Rattus norvegicus: one gene and its partners. The protein of the gene in region 1 interacts with the protein of each later gene in a pairwise test. Links are inferred from orthologs where the notes say so. Each region holds a gene or a part of one and is shown on either strand. Other genes may lie near its edges.

Region 1 (2,772 bases):
ACCCCACCCATCACAGTATGCCCACACTCCAGACAGGATCCAGACTCCTGGGTCCCTCATGCGTGTTCTGCTCCAGGCCATGGAGAGACCTAGAAGGAACCCAGCCTTCTTGTTTCAGCCCCAGAGGTGAGTTCCAAAAGGCAGAGGCTGGGAAGGGAGGAGGGCAGAGGAAGATGTGAGGGAAGGTGAGATACAGGGAGTGCCGACTAAAGATGAATCTCTCCTAAGGTTTGGCAGAAATGCTTGGGGGCCCTGGAGCAAGGAGCAGCTAAGTCCCCAGGCTAGAGAGTTCTGGAGCCTGGCCGCTCCTCAGCGCTTTGGGAAGAAGTAACATCATCTGCTGTGATATGTCTGCATGCAAAATCACTTCCCCACATTCCATGTGTGCCCCCAAATAAAGTGGTCTGGCTTCTGCATCTGTGTTTGGACAAGACTCTCAGGGAACGGGTGGGAGCCCAAGAGCAATAGTTATAGCCTCCTTTACCTCCACTCAATCAGTCTCCAGCCATTCTGCTGGAGGGTCCCCAAGGCTACTGCACCTTGCCTCCTGCCTGTAGCAAAAAGAATGGGGTTCAGAAGGAGAACAAACACTGTGTATTCCTTTGACACCCTCATGACCCAGGGCCAGAGAACACAGGGTTTAAGAAGCCAAAGAGCAGCATTTATTCTGGATTCCAATAGAATTCCAATTTCCTTTCATTCATCATCCATGGAATGAGGGCAAACCCTGCGCTGGCTGGGGCCCTGTGGTTCATGGCTCCTTGCTTGCCTTTGCCTTCCTCAGTCTCAAGGCAGGCAAGCTGTGTCAGAGGTAGAGATGGCACCTCTGGAGGGCACCAGAGCTAGGCAGACGCATAGACCCAGGGCAGAAGGAGCAAGAAGTAACAGATATCCATCACTGTAGTGGGTGCTATTTGCTACCGGCCATGATCCTGAGGTACTGTAGTGCGCGGCGAGCAGCATCACCTCGGGCTGCCTCCCTGGTAGTGGCAGAACCATAACACACAGTGGCTGGCTGCGTGGACAGCTCCACTAGACACTGGCAGAGCCCACTCAGGCTCAGTTCCTCTGGAAGCCAAAAAAGAGGGAGGCACTGGTGGGGAGGGGCACCAAGCAGTGTACATCACCCATCTCCCAACTCCTTTATACTTGCTCTGATCCAGTCCCCTCCATCCCCAGTCCCTGGCTGGCCATACCAATATCCAGATAGCTGACATGGAAAGCCTGCTCCGCAGAGAGCTCACTGAGGATGCTGCAGCAGGCAGAGCCCAAAGACCCCAGAGAGCCCACGGAGCAATTGCGAAGGGACAGGATCTTTTCTCCCACAGAATTCCGTAAGGAATCCCAGGTGCAGCCTGGCCCACGGTTCCTTAGTCCATCCAGGCGGGAGCTCACGCCCTAATGAGATAAGGGTGAGAATGCAGCTAAGAACCCAAGAACAGGGCATACTCTGACCCCTGGCAGGCTTCCTCATCCCAGGAAAAGTTGCTACAGGGCCTTTGCCCTAGGCCAGCTTTCCCTAGTGACCCTACACATAGGCTGAGGGGACTGCTAGGTGTCACAGGTTCAAAGAGCCCTGGGTTTGGTAGAGAAGCAGGTCCAACTCACTTCCAAATCACAGACCCAACCCAATTCCACACCACGTCCTGCAGTGTGAACCACATGGCGAGCCCACACAAGCCACTTACAATGGAAAAATGATCGTCATCAGGTTCAGCCTCGTTGCCGTCGCGGGCATCCAGAGGTACCGTGTGCACTCGAAGCAGCATCTTAGCTGCCGCGTTGCGCTTTGCCAGCTTCTTGGAGGTCCCACTGCCTGAGGATAGGGAAGGAATTGTTCGATTTGGGGATTCCTAACAGACCAATGCTTTCCCTCTAAGTTAACTTGGATAGAAGGTCCCCTTATGGGATAACTGCAAAGAGGAGCTCAAGGCCTGTTCGTTTTCACTGAGGAGTTGATGAGCCAGAAAAGAGGGGAAAGATGGGCAGGGACAAGGAAGAGACAGGGAGGGAAGAACTGAGCAAGGAGCTGCAAAGCAAAGAAAGTTGGGACAGAGCACAGCCAGGCAAAGAGCCACCTTGTGTGGGGCTATAGTGTGGCGGAGAGAAGGTGAGTGAACCCCCTTTTCCCCAGTTACCAATCTCAATGAAACGCTCCACCCGGCAGGTCATGGTGAACTCTTTGCGGTGAGCAGGCCCAGACTCCTGGGTCACCATGTACTCTGGCAAACGCCAGCCTTTCTGCACCACCAGCTCCTTGAGAGAAAAACAGAAGAGTCCAAGGTTTAATGGGGAAAGAAAGGTTCCTTACCCGAGTGGCTTTCTACCAAGAGCCTCAGCCTCTGAATGAGAAGGAGGACCACCCCACCCACGAGGGCGCACATCCCTGCCTCAGGGCCCTAGTTCAGAGAAGACAGCACACACGACAATGAAGATGAGGCACACCTGCAGAGCACCAACAGGGTTGCACTCAGACTGCTGAGGAGAGACAGGGGGCTGCATCTCCATGGGAGGGCTCCTAAAGGAAAAACGGCCCAGACCAACGCTGAGGAAAACGGTTCCTTCTGTCCTGGACAAGGATGAAGTGCCAGCCACTGCCACCTCCCAATTCTTCACCAGGCAGGCAGCTATCTGTCCAAACATCTAGCCTTGCTCCTCCCTCCCCAGTCTCCACCAAGTGAGGCTCGCTACTTCCTAGTAGCATTTAGATGTGGAAATACTTCAGTAAAATCCCTGTGACAGAGGTAAAGGAGCAGTACAGCCGGTCCTGGA
Region 2 (3,028 bases), on another chromosome or scaffold:
CTTCCCTGGATGGTTCTGCTACACAGCCAGAAGTAAAAACTACCTGTGGTGATAACATGAAGCTATGTTTAGGGAGCTGTTGGAGCAAAGGCATACCTGTGAAATGGGGCCATGCCTGTGTGTGGTTGAGAGTGGTCAAGGCAGAGAGCCAGCCTGAGGTGTTATTCATCACTTCCACTCAGAGGCTCCATCCCATGGGTGGAGGGGATGGTCTCGGTCTGTCTGTCTCTTCTCTTCTCTTCTCTCTCTCTCTCTCTCTCTCTCTCTCTCTCTCTCTCTCTCTCTCTCTCTCACACACACACACACACACACACACAAGTTAATGAAGCCAAACTCTGCAAGGAAAACCATCTGTAACTCCAGTTCTAGGGGGCTCTGATACTTTCTTCTGGCTTCCACAGGTACTAGGTGGTACACATACATATAGACAGACAGGGAAAACATCCATACACATAAAATTACAAAAAAAAGAAAAGAATTTCCTTCAAAATTAATAAAGAAGACCCTATAATAGGAGAATTTCAAAAAAATACATATATATGGCATATGAATTTGTATAAAGGGAATGCTGGCATTATTTTTCACAACTTTTCTGTAAATCTAAAAGTATTTCCAAATAAAGAATAAGCAGGGCATCTGTATGTGACTCTGTTTTTCCAACAGCTCAAATGTCAGCACATTGAATCCTGTTGGATTTCAGGGTTCACTAGACCTGCTTCCCAACCTTTAATGCCCGTTTCTTTACATTGGTTCAGCCATTAACATCCCTCTTTTTTGTTTTGTTTCCTTTTTATACTAAAAAAGTACCACTACAAAGATTATAAAGCCATTAAGTATCTTAGTTCCTAGCTGATTATGAGAAGAAAATAGCTGAGTATTTGCTCAGCTTTGTCTTATGGAGGGATGCTCATGTGAACATGATTTTATACCCAAGATGATCATCACATTCTACCCAAGATTAGGCAGGGTCTCATGCATTCCAGACTAGCCTCAACTTTTCTGTGTGTGTCTAAAGATGGCAGTATATCCCTATTCCTGCTGACTCTACCCCACAAGTGCTAAGATTGCAAGCATATACCACCATGATAGCTTCCTGAATATTCTTAATCTAGATAGATACTGATTTGTACAGTTGGAGGTAGGAAAGTTATAGCTGATATTCTACAAAGTCTTTGAATGTTCTGCTTAAACTTTGCTGCGCCATTTTCCTTCTGTTGTTGAGAATAAAAGTCTTGAGAGTTGAGTAGTTCACATTACTGCGGTATCTACTTAGAGTACTCCTTCAGAAAACATCACATGAACAGCTGGCAGAAGTTCTAGTTTACTATTCAGCAGCTGCCGCTGGTAAAGGCAAGCTTAGAAAGATTGAACCATCTTTTTCTTTTTTTTTCTTTGCAGCTGTGAAAATGTCTGACAAGAACCAGATCATTGCCAGGGCTTCCTTGATTGAGCAACTGGTGTCTAAAAGGTATTTTGAGGATATTGGTAAACAGCTTACTGAGCTAGAAATGATTTATGTGTCTAAGGAGCATCTGCAGGAGACAGATGTGGTCAGAGCTGTTTACAGAGTCCTCAAAAACTGCCCATCAGTGACTTTAAAAAAGAAGGCCAAGTGTCTGCTGGCAAAGTGGAGAGGTTTCTATAAGAATACACACTTCAAAACAAGGGAAAGCCTTAAAGTACTCCATACAGATGTTAATAAGGAAGTAAGTGTTGCAGTTTCTCAGGATGAAAGCCAAGATGAGACACCAGGCTCTAGCCACAATGAGATATTGGGTCTCTGTAGTTCTCTCTCTAGGCTGTCACCCCAAGATGCTGCAAAGGCTGCTGCAGCATTTGGGTCTGAAAGTAGTGCTGCTCAAATGGAAATTAATGAAGGCTATTTGGAGGATGACTCTGAATCTCCGAGCAAGAGCTCAGGTGTGCTAGATAATCCCTTAGTGTCTGTGAGATCTAAGTGCATAGAACTTCTCTATAAAGCCTTAGCTAGTTCTTGCACAGATCACACAAAAGTTCACTTTTGGCAAAACTTAGCAAGACAAATTGAAGAGCACATTTTTACTCTTCATTCAAACGATATCAAAAAATATAAAAATAATATTCGAAGCAAAGTTGCCAATTTGAACAACCCCAGAAATTCTCATTTACAACAAAATTTGCTCTCTGGAACCATATCTGCAAGGGAATTTGCTGAAATGACTGTACTGGACATGGCAAACCAGGAGCTGAAGCAGTTGAGAGCTTCCTATATAGAATCCAGTATTCAGGAACATCACCTTCCCCAAATAGTTGATGGCACACACACAAATAAAATTAAGTGTAGGCGCTGTGATAAATACAACTGCACAGTCACTGTAATTGCCAGAGGAACACTTTTCCTTCCAAGTTGGGTGCAGAATTCAAACCCAGATGAACAAATGACCTATGTCATTTGTAATGAATGTGGGGAGCAGTGGTACCATAACGACTGGGTGTGCTTGTGATTTGTTAATAATCTTTTCAAGGACATATGTTTTAAATATAAAACATAACCTTCTGTGCTCGTTTTTCAACAAAATCTGAATCTTATTTTTGCCTTCGGGAGTTTGGTTTGTGAAAGACGTCAGTATATAGCCCAAGCTGGTCCATTCTCAGGAGTGCTTGCTTTACACCACACCTGCTTAATGCACTGTTCTTACTACAGTACTAAACCAAGGAGGGAGAGTTGTTTGCCAATGTGTAGGCCATAGAAGGCTATCACATTGTACTTTGTGGCCACTTAAGACTTGACTCAGAGTGGCACTGTGGCTCAACACAGCCTGAGAGCATGTTAGAGATGAAGACTCTTGCCTGGTGCTCCTTGAATCCTGATCTGTATTTTGGCAGAGTCTCCAAGTGATCCTCTGGGATACTTTGAGAATCACTGTGGTTCTCAGGAGTGACTATATATTAGAATTTTCTGAGAAGCATTGAAATGTACTGGTGCCAAGAGCCAAGCCCAGTGCAATTCAGTATGAACCTATGGCACCGGACCCAGTAGTCAGCATTG
Region 3 (3,655 bases), on another chromosome or scaffold:
TATGAGAAGAGGGGACAAGGATGAGTAGGTCTCCATCACATCCTCAAAACCTTCTAAACACTTGTCTTGTTTCAATGATGAAATAAAACAAAAGGATCAAAAGTTCTATCGATAGTGTGGTCTTGGTCCAAAACAGAGAATAATATGCACACACACACACACACACACACACACACACACCCAGTGAAACAGAAATCAAAGGCCTCCTACTCGTGACTAATTGCAGTTACCCTAGGATAAAGACCTCAGGATGAAAGTGATGGCTGTGCCAATGCTGAGAGATAAAAAAGGCTACATGTGAAGTCGGACGCTGGGGAGGGACTCACGGCAGCTGCGACTGGCTTGCTAGGGTGTCTGGCTTTGAAGGCATTTAGAGCAGGCAGCCCTTGCAGGTCAAAGTGAGCAGGCATAACCTGAGTCCGTGAAGATGAGGATTTAGCTGTCGCCGGCAACACTCAGCAGTAAGAGCAGGTGGGGTGGGAGGAAAGAACTAAGAGGGCGAGCGAGGCAGGCGGAGAATGCTCAGTGTGCAGCTGGCCTTTGGCCTCCCTGAGTTATAATTACTGGCCAGGTTAGTAATTATAGGCTAAGAACCAAGTCACGGCTATAGAAAATCTGACAGAAGCACACCCAGGGAAGTAGAGTGAACCAAGTCTGAGGCCGAGTCTCAGCAGGGCAGGGTCTATGATGGACATACGCACTTTACACCGGCTCTCACATGGCCTGGTTGGCTCAGACTCCCTGTGGATGGTAGCTGCCTTCACCACGTGAGTGCTGAGAATGAGGGTATGCACCTCATCTAGCTTATGCGAGGCTGGGGCTGCAGCACACTAGGGAAGAACTACTCTACCAACCGACTCAGGCCCCCAGCTCATACTTGGATTTTTCAGGGCTTTCAAAAGCCTGAAATACCTGAGCCCCAGTCTACATTCTGAGGCTCCAGTGAGCATTCTGGAGCACCTGCAATGGTGCCCTGAGGACTGAGGGTCTCCAAAGCACTACTCAGGAAAACCAGTACCTGCCCCCTTAGCGGGCTGCTGCTTCAGCTTTAAGTTCCTTGCGTGGGTCTTCCCCAGGTAGTGCGACTGGGCCACAACAGGGGAGGAAAAGGTCATGTTACAGACGGGGCAGCAGTGGTTCTTGTCTTTGCTTCTGCTGCTCTTCTGGTTGGGAGAGAGAACACAGGTCTGATCACGCCAGCGCCCATCCAGAAAACCTCCAATGGTTCCCCACTGCCCTTTGGCAGGTGGACATTTAAGACCCCCTTCACATGTTAACCGTAACATAAGTACAACACACCTTTACAAAGCCCTCTCCAGCCATTTCACGTCAGGCTCCGTGCATGGTTTCCCACTTTATTCTGTTACTTCCGCATTTGCTTGCTTATCCCTACTGTCTAGAATGTTCCTCCTTATTCCCGCCTGGCTTTATTAGGTCTGCTATCAGCTATTCAGTGACTCTGACTTTAAGACACATGACTAAACCATCAGCAAGGCCCCTGCGTGCAGCAGTCCAGGAGGCGCTGGCCTTCCTCCTCAGCTGTGTTCCCAGTATGTCAGACTTTAGTGCACCGTTTGTCACCCTGAACTGACGGCATTGCAGCTGCCTTTCCTGTGGGCTTTAGTGCAGTGCTGGACGTACACAGCTTGACTTGTCATTGTCTCTTACCCCTGTACCTGCTGTGTCCAGCACACAGGAGATAGCCAAGGCTCTTAGAGCAAATGCATCAGTGGGTCCCACCTGCTACTAGAGTTATGATAGAAAGTGTATTTCAGGGGCTGGGGATTTAGCTCAGTGGTAGAGCGCTTACCTAGGAAGCGCAAGGCCCTGGGTTCGGTCCCCAGCTCCGAAAAAAAGAACCAAAAAAAAAAAAAAAAAAAAAAAAAAAGAAAGAAAGTGTATTTCAATCTTTCCGAGAAAGTCTGTCCTTTGAACAAGGTGTTTCTTCAACACTTCTCAGCCTTCCCACTGCAGATGGTTTGGCCTTGGCAATTCCTAGCTGGTGGTGGGTGCTGTGATCTCACCTGAGCTACGCAGTCATCTAAGAACTGAAGCGGAAAGGTTAACTGATCGTGCCCCTGTGGGTCTAAGCCATAAGGGCAACCAGGAGATGGTTTCTGGAAGGGACAAGAAGGCCCCTTTAAACCACTAGCCACCATTACAGGAGCCAGCAGCCTGGAGAGTAACCCCTTAGTTACCGACCATTTACTGGGTACTGAAGTTTTTACCTCACAACACTATCGAGCAAGGTCTCCCCCCTCCCTTTTTTTTAATGAGTGAATTTCCGAGAGGGAAGGTCTCCTATCTATTAAGTTAAGGAGCCTTGCCCACCGACTTCTCACCGCACTGTGCAGAACCCCCACACTCTGAAAGGCGTAGCACACTCAGGGACTGTGACTGGTTTCTCTGTAATTCTTATAACAATTCTGAGGTAAAAGTGAGTGTTTCTGCACTGTGTCAGAGGAGGCTCTCACTTTCCTCATTTGTCCAGGCAAATGCTGAACATTTGTTTTCTCTACAGCTGAGGAAAATAAGTGTCCCTTTACTCTGTCTACTTTAATACCCTCTGGGAGTTAAGGGCGGAGTCTAATAATGGCTCCATTAACTGAACTGTTGCTTACACAACAGATTTTGGGTCTGGTGCTGTTTTATAAGTCTTTTCTCAACTAGAAAAAATCTTGAAAGGTAACTATACTTTTTTTGTTTTGTTTTGAGACAGTCTTTCACGTAGCCCAGGCTGGCTTTAAGCTTGCTATGCAGCCAAGGATAACCTCACACGCCCGATCTTCATGCCTGCACTTCCACATGCTTTGGTTGAATGTGTGCACCCCACGTGGGGACCTATGCTTCTTTTTTTAACAGAGAAAGAAATCAAGGCTTAAGGATTAGAAGACTTGCTCAGGTTAGATAACAACACTGAGGCCTGCAGGCAAGTCAGTCTGAATCAAAGCCCATGCTCGCACCACACCAAGCTGCTCCGGACGCAGGCAGCTGTTACCTGATCGGAGTCCAGCCTCTTCACGTCCCCCTTCAGTGTCTCCATTCCATGGATTGCTAGGTATCTCTTTACTTTGTTGGCATGTTTTTTGCTCTGCAAGAACCCAGCCAAAAATCAAAGATAGTCAAACGTCATTTCAGAGAAAAGACACTCAGGCCATATCAGAGTTTCACCTGACTTTTTGTGAGGAAGAGAGAATGGGGGAAGAAAACTTCATTTACTGAATTTCTACCATGTGCTAGGTAGGCCCTTTACATGCTAGTACATCTAACGTCCCACAATCTATGGAAGAACTATTATCCACGAAGAAACTGAGGCCAAGCATGATGAAATTTCTTGCCTAAAATGAGGAACAGAGTTGGCTTCAAATCCAGGTCTACATAAAACCAAAGCTCACACTTCCACCTGTATCAAGATGTACAGAGAGATCTACACATAATGACCCTGATTTGGATGGGAGCTATGAGTCACGGAAATTAAGTCAATTTCAAGTCCCAAGCAGACATGCATGAAGGAAGCATCTTGTAGCTGTGGAAGAACGAAAGCTTTTACCATACAGGGCAGGAAAAGCAAGGTGTGGCACGGGACCTGGAAGGTAAATGCATGAATACAGTAGAAATGGCCTACCTGGTAATGTGCCAGCTTCTGAGACTCAGA

Evidence for each region.
Region 2: the proteins of Tarbp2 (region 1) and Tceanc interact in binary tests that used the Homo sapiens proteins (3 or more experiments, as listed by UniProt). The two-hybrid records come from large-scale screens. The link is inferred for Rattus norvegicus from reciprocal best matches to the Homo sapiens genes TARBP2 and TCEANC.
Region 3: the proteins of Tarbp2 (region 1) and Zfp346 interact in binary tests that used the Homo sapiens proteins (3 or more experiments, as listed by UniProt). The two-hybrid records come from large-scale screens. The link is inferred for Rattus norvegicus from reciprocal best matches to the Homo sapiens genes TARBP2 and ZNF346.

What each region holds. Positions count from the first base shown.
Region 1 is NC_086025.1:135,530,694-135,533,465, reverse strand, and holds the end of Tarbp2 (RISC-loading complex subunit TARBP2), read right to left. Parts: intron 2,519-2,772; coding exon 2,446-2,518; intron 2,257-2,445; coding exon 2,139-2,256; intron 1,817-2,138; coding exon 1,689-1,816; coding exon of another isoform or gene 1,685-1,688; intron 1,399-1,684; coding exon 1,197-1,398; intron 1,069-1,196; coding exon 911-1,068; 3' UTR 640-910; downstream 1-639. Other genes in the region: Npff (pro-FMRFamide-related neuropeptide FF preproprotein), read left to right, coding at 1-126, 229-331. UniProt on the Homo sapiens protein: Required for formation of the RNA induced silencing complex (RISC). Component of the RISC loading complex (RLC), also known as the micro-RNA (miRNA) loading complex (miRLC), which is composed of DICER1, AGO2 and TARBP2.
Region 2 is NC_086039.1:31,587,907-31,590,934, forward strand, and holds Tceanc (transcription elongation factor A N-terminal and central domain-containing protein), read left to right. Parts: upstream 1-1,406; coding exon 1,407-2,483; downstream 2,484-3,028.
Region 3 is NC_086035.1:9,515,246-9,518,900, forward strand, and holds part of Zfp346 (zinc finger protein 346), read right to left. Parts: coding exon 3,626-3,655; intron 3,092-3,625; coding exon 2,999-3,091; intron 1,164-2,998; coding exon 1,019-1,163; intron 1-1,018.